2 linked regions of the Cricetulus griseus genome follow. The protein of the gene in region 1 interacts with the protein of each later gene in a biochemical or structural test. Links are inferred from orthologs where the notes say so. Each region holds a gene or a part of one and is shown on either strand. Other genes may lie near its edges. The genes, in order: Ube2b and Rnf40.

What was found.
Region 2: the proteins of Ube2b (region 1) and Rnf40 form a complex in vitro, tested with the Homo sapiens proteins (3 studies listed by BioGRID). The link is inferred for Cricetulus griseus from reciprocal best matches to the Homo sapiens genes UBE2B and RNF40.

What each region holds. Positions count from the first base shown.
Region 1 is NC_048600.1:66,264,635-66,269,115, reverse strand, and holds the start of Ube2b (ubiquitin-conjugating enzyme E2 B), read left to right. Parts: upstream 1-1,608; 5' UTR 1,609-1,686; intron 1,687-2,002; 5' UTR 2,003-2,027; coding exon 2,028-2,071; intron 2,072-4,342; coding exon 4,343-4,423; intron 4,424-4,481. UniProt on the Homo sapiens protein: E2 ubiquitin-conjugating enzyme that accepts ubiquitin from the ubiquitin-activating enzyme E1 and transfers it to a E3 ubiquitin-protein ligase. In vitro catalyzes 'Lys-11'-, as well as 'Lys-48'- and 'Lys-63'-linked polyubiquitination.
Region 2 is NC_048596.1:73,159,469-73,163,274, reverse strand, and holds part of Rnf40 (E3 ubiquitin-protein ligase BRE1B), read left to right. Parts: intron 1-1,094; coding exon 1,095-1,230; intron 1,231-2,418; coding exon 2,419-2,540; intron 2,541-2,629; coding exon 2,630-3,057; intron 3,058-3,139; coding exon 3,140-3,257; intron 3,258-3,422; coding exon 3,423-3,572; intron 3,573-3,722; coding exon 3,723-3,806.

The sequences.
Region 1 (4,481 bases):
AAGAGTCTCAAGAATTTCACTGCATAGAATCCCACACGTTTGCCTTCCTTCTTAACCATGTACAAGAGCAGGATTGGTATGGCTGGATGGCAAATTAATAATTTTAAAAAGGCAAGGCACTTGTTACCCATGCTAGCTACTCAAAGGGGGCTGCAGGCCAGCCTAGGGAACTCAAGGAGACTGTCTCACTGTTTTTCCCAGAGACAGTTTCTCTCCATGCAGTTCAATGTGGCACGGGATTTGCAATCCTCCTGCCACCACCTCTATCATGCTGAGGTTGTGCTCAGCATGTCATACCCGGCTCAATAAATATTTAAAGGGCCGTGTAAGGCCCTGGGGTTCTATCGCACACCTCAAAAAGGAGAAAAGAACACTTAACCTTTAACTTAGTCGCATTGTGAGTGCACAGCAGCGGCTAGGGGGAGTTAGACCTACCTAACAATCCTCAAGGTTACTTTCTTTACGGTGGTGGGGGCGGGGAAGATGAGACGTCCTCAGGCTGCCCAGGGTGGCCACCATTCCACTGTCACTGAGGCTACCTTTAAACTCCTGATCCTTTCCACTACCTGAACGGTGGGATTAGCAGAATGCACCAAGTCATCGGGTTCTCAAGGTTACTTTAAATGAAGAGAAAATTCAGAGTTTGAAGACAGTGGCAAACGTAAACCGTTCCTGGTTTCATGGAAATATAGGCAGGAGTGAAGCGGTGGATTCTCATTCCTTTCCTCCTTCTACAGCTAAGAATTCCGCGTCTACTAAAATGTTCGGTACCGTAGAGTAGCAAACTGGAACTAGAAACGGAGGGTGGGTATTCTGTGACTCGGAAAAGGAGAAGCCTGCAGGGTCAAGGCTTTTGAACTGCTGCACGACCGGGTTCTTCCTGTCCTTTTGCACTCTCCTTGCAATTATTTCAAAACCCATAATGAGTTATCTTAAGACTCAAGAAATACCTCCCACTCATGTCTGCTCGATCTCTCCCCGATCTGAATCATTTTTGAAGGTTTCTTTGACGACCAGCAGCCCATTGATATGCTCTAAAGTCACACCTCCACATTGTGCCTCAAACGCAGGCAGATTCAGATCCCAACTAAGGAAAGTTCTGTGCAGTCTTTAAGGGCTATTCCAGTCTCATCTCCGTATCCCACTAGCACCAACAGGCTACTGGTCCCAGTGACCGAGAGCCCATCTCATCTGCGCCGACCTTAGCATTCAAAGCTGTTTATTGTAAGTCTACGCGACCCTTTCAGTACCTGCTCCACGTACCAGAGTTGCTAAGTCACTTGAAACAGAATTAAATCCAGATTTTTTTTTGTTCCGTTTTAAAGACTTAGAACGCAAGCGGCTCCTTCCACAACGTCTCCTTAGGCAAAGTCCTTATACTTGGGGCCAAAAGAACAAGGTATAACTAGAGGTGTCAAGCCCAGAAACTCAACGACCTGCCTCCTTAGACCCCAAACCAAGAGCGAGTCGACGCTGTCACGTGACCTGTTCTAATGGCGTCACAGGAACACGTGGTTCTAGATACTTCGCTCCCTCCCCCTCAGGGGTGGATTGTTGACAACGCCGCCAGTGGTCACGTGACCTGACGTCATCCCACCTCCTCTCCCTGAAATCTCAGGCTCCGGATGCGTCCGTCTCTCCCCGTCCGGCCGAACCTGAAACTAGCAACGGGGGGAGAGAGTCGAGGTAGCATGTGGCCTCCAGCGGCCTTGACCCTGCGGTGTCCAGCGTGAGCAGGGAGCGGAGTCTGCCCAGCTCCCCACAGGAAGACGGCCCGGAAGACGGCCCCTTGCGCCGGCCGGTGCCGCGCGCGCGCCCGCTCGCCCCGCCCCTTCCCCCCTCCTCCCGCGGTGGTACTGGCGGAGGGCGGAGGGATCTGGAGGCGGCGGAGGGAGACGTCATTGCAGGGTTGTTTGTGCAGTCTCGGCGGCGGCGGCGACCCACAGTGATTCGGCCGCTGCGCCGGGGGGTGGGGGGGCCGAACGGGACTCTTTTCTTTCAGACTGACCGCGGGGCAGCTGCGGAGCATGTCGACCCCGGCCCGTAGGAGGCTCATGCGGGATTTCAAGCGGTAAGGGCCCTCGCCTTAGTCCAATATGACGGCTCCTTCCCGAATCCGTAGGACTGCAGGGCGGGGATCCGGGACCTATTCCCCTGTTGACCCTGAGGGGGTGGACTGTGGGCCTCCGGCATCCGCGGCAGTCCCGGTTTACCGGCGGCTCCCACTCCTCCCTCGCCTGGTACCTCCTTTTGAGTAAAGATGGTTGGTACTACTGCCCCCTGCCCTTCCCCCAAAGAAGTAAGAAGGCCATCGCTGGGCCTAGGTGTCCCCAAGGCCCACCTAGGCCAGCTGTCGCCGCCTCATCTCCTGCCTCTGTGCCCTGCGGCGTCCCCTCCCCAGCCGGTGCGAGTGAGCTCCGCTTGAGGCTGGGGCTTCGCTTGGCAGACCAGTCCAGCTTTGTTAGAGCGCCCCGCGGCCTCCCGTTTGGATTGGGGTTAGGGTGAATATTGCCCCATGTCCCTTCCCTTTCTGCAGTGATGAGGGTGGGGTCTGCTGCGCGAGGGCCGGAGGTGGTTAGCCCATCCCCCGAAACCCGATTCTGCCCCCGCCCACCTGGAAGGACCTTGAGAACTGGCTCGGGAAACCTGGGCCAGGAGATGGTCACTCGTGCTGCCAATGCCTTCTGGAACTGAGATCTGGCTGCCGAATAAAAGCCTATCTATAGCCTCCCTAGCCTGGAAAAATGCCTTCCGTCAGCCTGATGCTAATCTGATACTCCACCTGGGCGTTCTTTTGGAAAATAGTGGTTTGTTGGGAAATACGGGGCTTGGAGGAAGAAAATGACCTTTTCCCTCTTCCAATTGTTTGTCTTTCTTTGGAAACGTACAAGTGCAGAAACTACCTGAAGTCCAGCGTCCAGATAGTCTTGTTTTCTTTTGGGGGCAGACTTGCCGTGATTGAGACAAATCTGTAATATAGAAACTTAGATTTGCCGCTCAGGAAGTAACCTCTTAACTTCGCCATTATAGAGCCCTGTGTGAAGCATTTAGAAGCCATTGTCTTGGACCCTAGACATTATTTAATTCATTTGTTGATGCTTTTGGCCACTTAAAAGTGGGGAGTCAAGCAGTAAGTAGTACTTCCTGTAAACCCTATCAGCGGCCTAATCTGCTTGAGAGTGACCAAACAGTACACTTTTTATGTGGACTTGATTGCCAAGTGTCCTACCATCTGAAAATAACATATTTCATTTGTGTGTGTGTGTGTGTGTGTGTGTGTGTGTGTGTGTGTGTGTGTGTGTGTGTGTGAGAGGGAGAGGTAGAGGTTTTGTTTTTGTTTTTTAATCTGACAGGAAAGGATGCCCTTTTTTGGTGCAAAAGTCACCCAGGGCTTGAAGTCACCTTATTTGATTAGCTCCATGACTGAAACGCAAATAAAACTTCCCAGTTATATCCATTGTTATCTCTTGCTCGTTTTTTTGCAATTCTTTTATTTGATTTTAAGTTGGTAGTTTTCCAAGGATCTTCAGGTTACAAGAATTTGATGATGACGTCTGTTGGAAGCTCTGTGAAGTCCTGGTCTGAGGTAGATTTGGCCTTTGAACAGCTTTTAAAATTGGCTGCTTGGAAAACTAGCAGGAGCTTCCGGCTACTTTAGAAAGCCACTGTCTGAAGCACAGGGCACGAAATAAAACTTGCTTTCTAGTTAAATTGAATGTGGTTTTTAGTCATTTAGAGTATACAGAGATTGACTACAATTCTGTGTTGTGCAGTGTCTGTGGTTAGGACTGGTGATCCTTGCATGGTTGAGGTAGGAAATTTGCAGGTTCTCCCTTTTTCTTTGTTTTTTTGTTTGTTTGTTTTTGTTTTTCAAGACAGGGTTTCTCTATGTAGCTCTGACTGTCCTAGAACCCACTATGTAGGCCAGGCTGGCCTCCAACTCACAAGATATCCACCTGCCTCTGCCTCCTGAGTGATAGTTTTCTAAGGCATATGCCATCACCACCCAGCACAAGTTGCTGGTTGTCTAGCCATATTTTTTACTGCTAAGATTATAACTCTTCAGTGGGTTAAGAGTGCAGTCTGGAAACATGGGTCTTCAAGAGACCACATCTTAAATCTTGTGGTTTGAAGAGGGATGATCTCTTAGCCCTTTGGACTTAGAGATCACTTGTACTATTAATAAGTTTATTAACCTGGTTGATTCATTTAAGTTGTGGTTCATTCTGGCTCCATCGATAACAAGAAAGTCAATCTAGCCAGTCTTTCAGAATAGGTTCAGTAGAATTTGACCTTGGTGACCTTTATGTTAACTCTGAAAATGACCACTCTGGATTTCTAGATTGCAAGAGGACCCACCCGTGGGGGTCAGTGGTGCACCATCTGAAAACAACATCATGCAATGGAACGCAGTTATATTTGGGTGAGTTGAAATAGTTACCGGATGACAGGTGTGTGGGGACTCCGGAAGAAAAGTAAGT
Region 2 (3,806 bases), on another chromosome or scaffold:
AAACTAATGATGTTATATATGTATGTATGTATTATTTAAAGTTTTCATGCATGTGGGTATTTGCCTGTTTGTTCATCTGTGTACCACTTGTGTGCCCCTGAGGCCCAAAAAGAGCATGAGATCCCCTGGAACTGGAGTTACAGACGGTTAAATCACCATGTGGGTCCTGGGAATTGAGCCTGGGTCCTCTGTAAGAGCAGCCAGTGCTCTTAACAACTGAGTGATCTCCCCAGTGCTGCTGCCTCCTTTTTAAATTTTATTTTTAGATATAAGTGTTTTGCTTGAGGGCGTTGGTAGCACACGCCTTTAATCCCAGCACTCAGGAGGCAGAGGCAGGCAGATCTCTGTGAGTTCGAGGCCAGCCTGGTCTACAGATCGAGTGCCAGGATAGGCTCCAAAGCTACACAGAGAAACCCTGTCTCAAAAAACCCAAAAATAAATAAACAAATAAATAAATAAGTGTTTTGCTTGTATATATGCATGTGCAGCACAGTTTGCCTAGTGCCTACAGAGACCAGAAGAGGGTGTTGCATCCCCTGGGACTAGAGATACAGAGGGTTGTGAGCAGTTATATGGGTTGGAAATCAAACACAGGTCCTTTGGAAGAGCAACCAGTGTTCTTAACTGCTGAGCCATCTCTCTATCAAGGTGTCAGAATGTAGGCTTGGGTAGCCTGGGACTCACTATATAGACCAGGTTGGCCTCCAGTGTAAGTCATCCACAAGCCCTTGCTTCCTGAGTGCTGGGATTAAAGGCATACACCATGATGCTTGGTGTATTTATCTATCTTACGTTCGATTACTGGAGTCCTTTTTTTCTGGAGAGATAGAAGATTAAGTGACCAGTGCTAGCTTTATTTCTTTCTTTTTTCTTTTTGAGACAAGGTTTCTCTGTGTATCTCTGGCTGTCCTGGAACTCACCTTGTAGACCAGGTTGGCCTTGAATTCAGCTTGTGCCTCCCAAGTTTTGGGATTAAAGGCATGTGCCACCTCCGTCTGCCAGCTTTATTTCTTTGTAAGCAAAAATTAGGTCTTTTCATTAGTATGGGGGTAGGATTCTCATACGGTTGTGTCTTTAAATGCCTCGACCCACAGAGTGATGAATTGGGGCTGCAGAAGAAACTGCGCACAGAAGTGATCCAGTTGGAGGATACCCTGGCCCAGGTACGAAAGGAGTATGAGATGCTGCGCATTGAGTTTGAACAGAACCTTGCGGCCAACGAGCAGGCTGGTACGTGGTGGGATTGGGTAGAGATAAGCCTAGAAGGGTGCTGGAACCTTGCGGCTGCTTATCTAGATTTAATGAGGAGCTTTTCTCCGAGTCTCCATTGGCCACAGAAAACAGGCACTACACTCACTACCTGTGTCACTCCCAGTGTCATAGCAGCTGGGATGGGAAGTTGAGCAGGTGTCACCAGACTGTGAGCTGGTCTAACCTCTGAGAGATTTGTCTCACAAAGATTTATTGAGTACTCCCTGTGAGCCACACTCAATGCTAGGTTTTGGGGTTCTGCCAATAAATGAAGAATCTCTGCTGTTGTGGAGTGACTCTAGTAAACTCTAGGGTGATAGACGACAATAAAAGAAAAACCATGGAAGATTCCTGTAGAGGTGAAGCAGGGACACATCAAGATGCTTGTACAGCCTTTAATCCCAGCGCTCAGATGGCAGAGGCAGTGGATGTCTCTGAGTTTAAGGCCAACCTGGTCTACAAAGTAAGTTCCAGGCCAGGTAGGGTGTATAGGCAAAACACATGAAATAAAAATGAATCTTTTAAAAAAAGGTATTGTTCCTCCCCACCCCCATCCCTTCCGCAGCTGAAAAGATATCTCAGTAGTTAAAGAACATTGACTACAGCCAGGCGGTAGTGGCGCACAGCTTTAATCCCAGCTTTTGGGAGGCAGATATCTGAGTTTGAGGCCTACCTGGTCTACAGACTGAGTTCCAAGGTAGCCAGGGCTACACAGAGAAACCCTGTCTCTGGGAGTTGAAGTCAGGGAAGGTTGGGGTGGGGAAGAACACTGACTGCCCTTCCAGAGGACTCAGATTTTATCCCAATACCCACAATTCTCAGCAGTCCGAAGTCCTTTTCTGGCCTCTGGGGGCACTACAGTACACATACATTGTGCACAGACATACATGTAAGTAAAACACACATAACAGGATTAAAGCCTAATGCTTATGTGTATAAGTATTTCGCTTTCGTGCATGTGTCTGTGCACCTCATTGCATGTGTGCCTGGTGCTCACAGAGGCCAGAAGGCACCAGATCACCTGGAACTGTGAGCTGCCACGTGAGTGGCAGAATTTCCCTTTCTGTACAATGGGAGTATGGGCTCTGCTTGGCTTCTTTCCCTTCTGGGGAGTTGGAGAGTTAGGAGGAGATCGTCCTACATACCCACTTTCTGACTTTTTCTCAGGGCCTATCAACCGTGAGATGCGCCATCTGATTAGCAGTCTCCAGAATCATAATCACCAGCTAAAAGGGGATGCCCAGCGATATAAGCGGAAACTTCGAGAAGTACAGGCTGAGATTGGCAAAGTAAGGAGAGGGAGCTGCCTGGGGAAAGCCTTCGCTAGATCTTAGTGGGCAGTGGCTCACCTCATTCCTATTTTTCTCTGTCTGTACAGCTCCGGGCCCAGGCCAGTGGCTCTTCCCACTGCATCCCCAGCCTGAGCCACCCAGATGACTCTGGCCTCAATGCCCTAGCCCCAGGGAAAGAAGATGGTGGGCCAGGCCCTGGAGGTACTCCTGACAGCAAAAAGGAGATAGCTGCAGTGCCTGGAGCCACCCCTGCTGCTTCTTCAGTAAAGAAGGAGGAGCTGGTCTCCTCTGAAGATGATGCCCTGGCCCTAACCCCTGGAAACCAGGGCTTGCCCTCTCGAGGCCGAGAACCTGAGGCCAGACCCAAGCGAGAACTTCGGGAACGGGAAGGGCCTGTCCTGGGGCCCCCACCTGTAGCCTCAGCTCTCTCAAGGGCTGATCGAGAAAAGGCCAAGGTTGAGGAAGCAAAGAGGAAAGAGTCAGAACTGCTCAAGGGTCTTCGAGCAGAGCTCAAGTGAGGCCCTATTGCTGTCTCCTCCCCTGTCAAGTAGCTTTCAGTTCTTCTTACTAAGATCCCCTTCTGTACCCTTCTCTAGGAAGGCCCAGGAGAGTCAGAAGGAGATGAAGCTGCTGCTGGACATGTACAAGTCTGCACCCAAGGAACAGCGGGATAAGGTGCAGCTGATGGCAGCTGAACGGAAGGCCAAGGCTGAGGTAAGGGCCAGGGGCGGGGCATGCACAGTCTCGCCCAGGGACTTCAGAGCCTTGGGGTCAGCAAGTTTGCTGCTTTTTGAATTCTGTCACTATGCAAAGCAAGCTAGTAGTGGTGTCGCTGTGCGGACGGACCAATGTTTGAGAGCTTCCCTCCCATGAATGCAGGTGGATGAGCTTCGGGGCCGCATCCGAGAACTGGAGGAAAGAGATCGAAGAGAAAGCAAGAAGATTGCAGATGAGGATGCCCTGAGACGAATCCGGCAGGCAGAGGAGCAGATAGAACACCTGCAACGCAAATTGGGTGCCACTAAGCAGGTGAGATTCCCTTCTTGCTTGTGGTTGCTGGTTAAGTGCCTTTAGTGTGTGACATTTTGATGGTCTGGGTACATACTATTTTCTTGGGAGTTCCCAGCAGCCATCTTGTTAATCTGCCACTTTCTATCTTTCCTTCCTTCCCCCTTGCAGGAGGAAGAGGCACTGCTGTCAGAGATGGATGTGACAGGCCAGGCTTTTGAAGACATGCAGGAGCAAAATGGGCGGCTGCTGCAG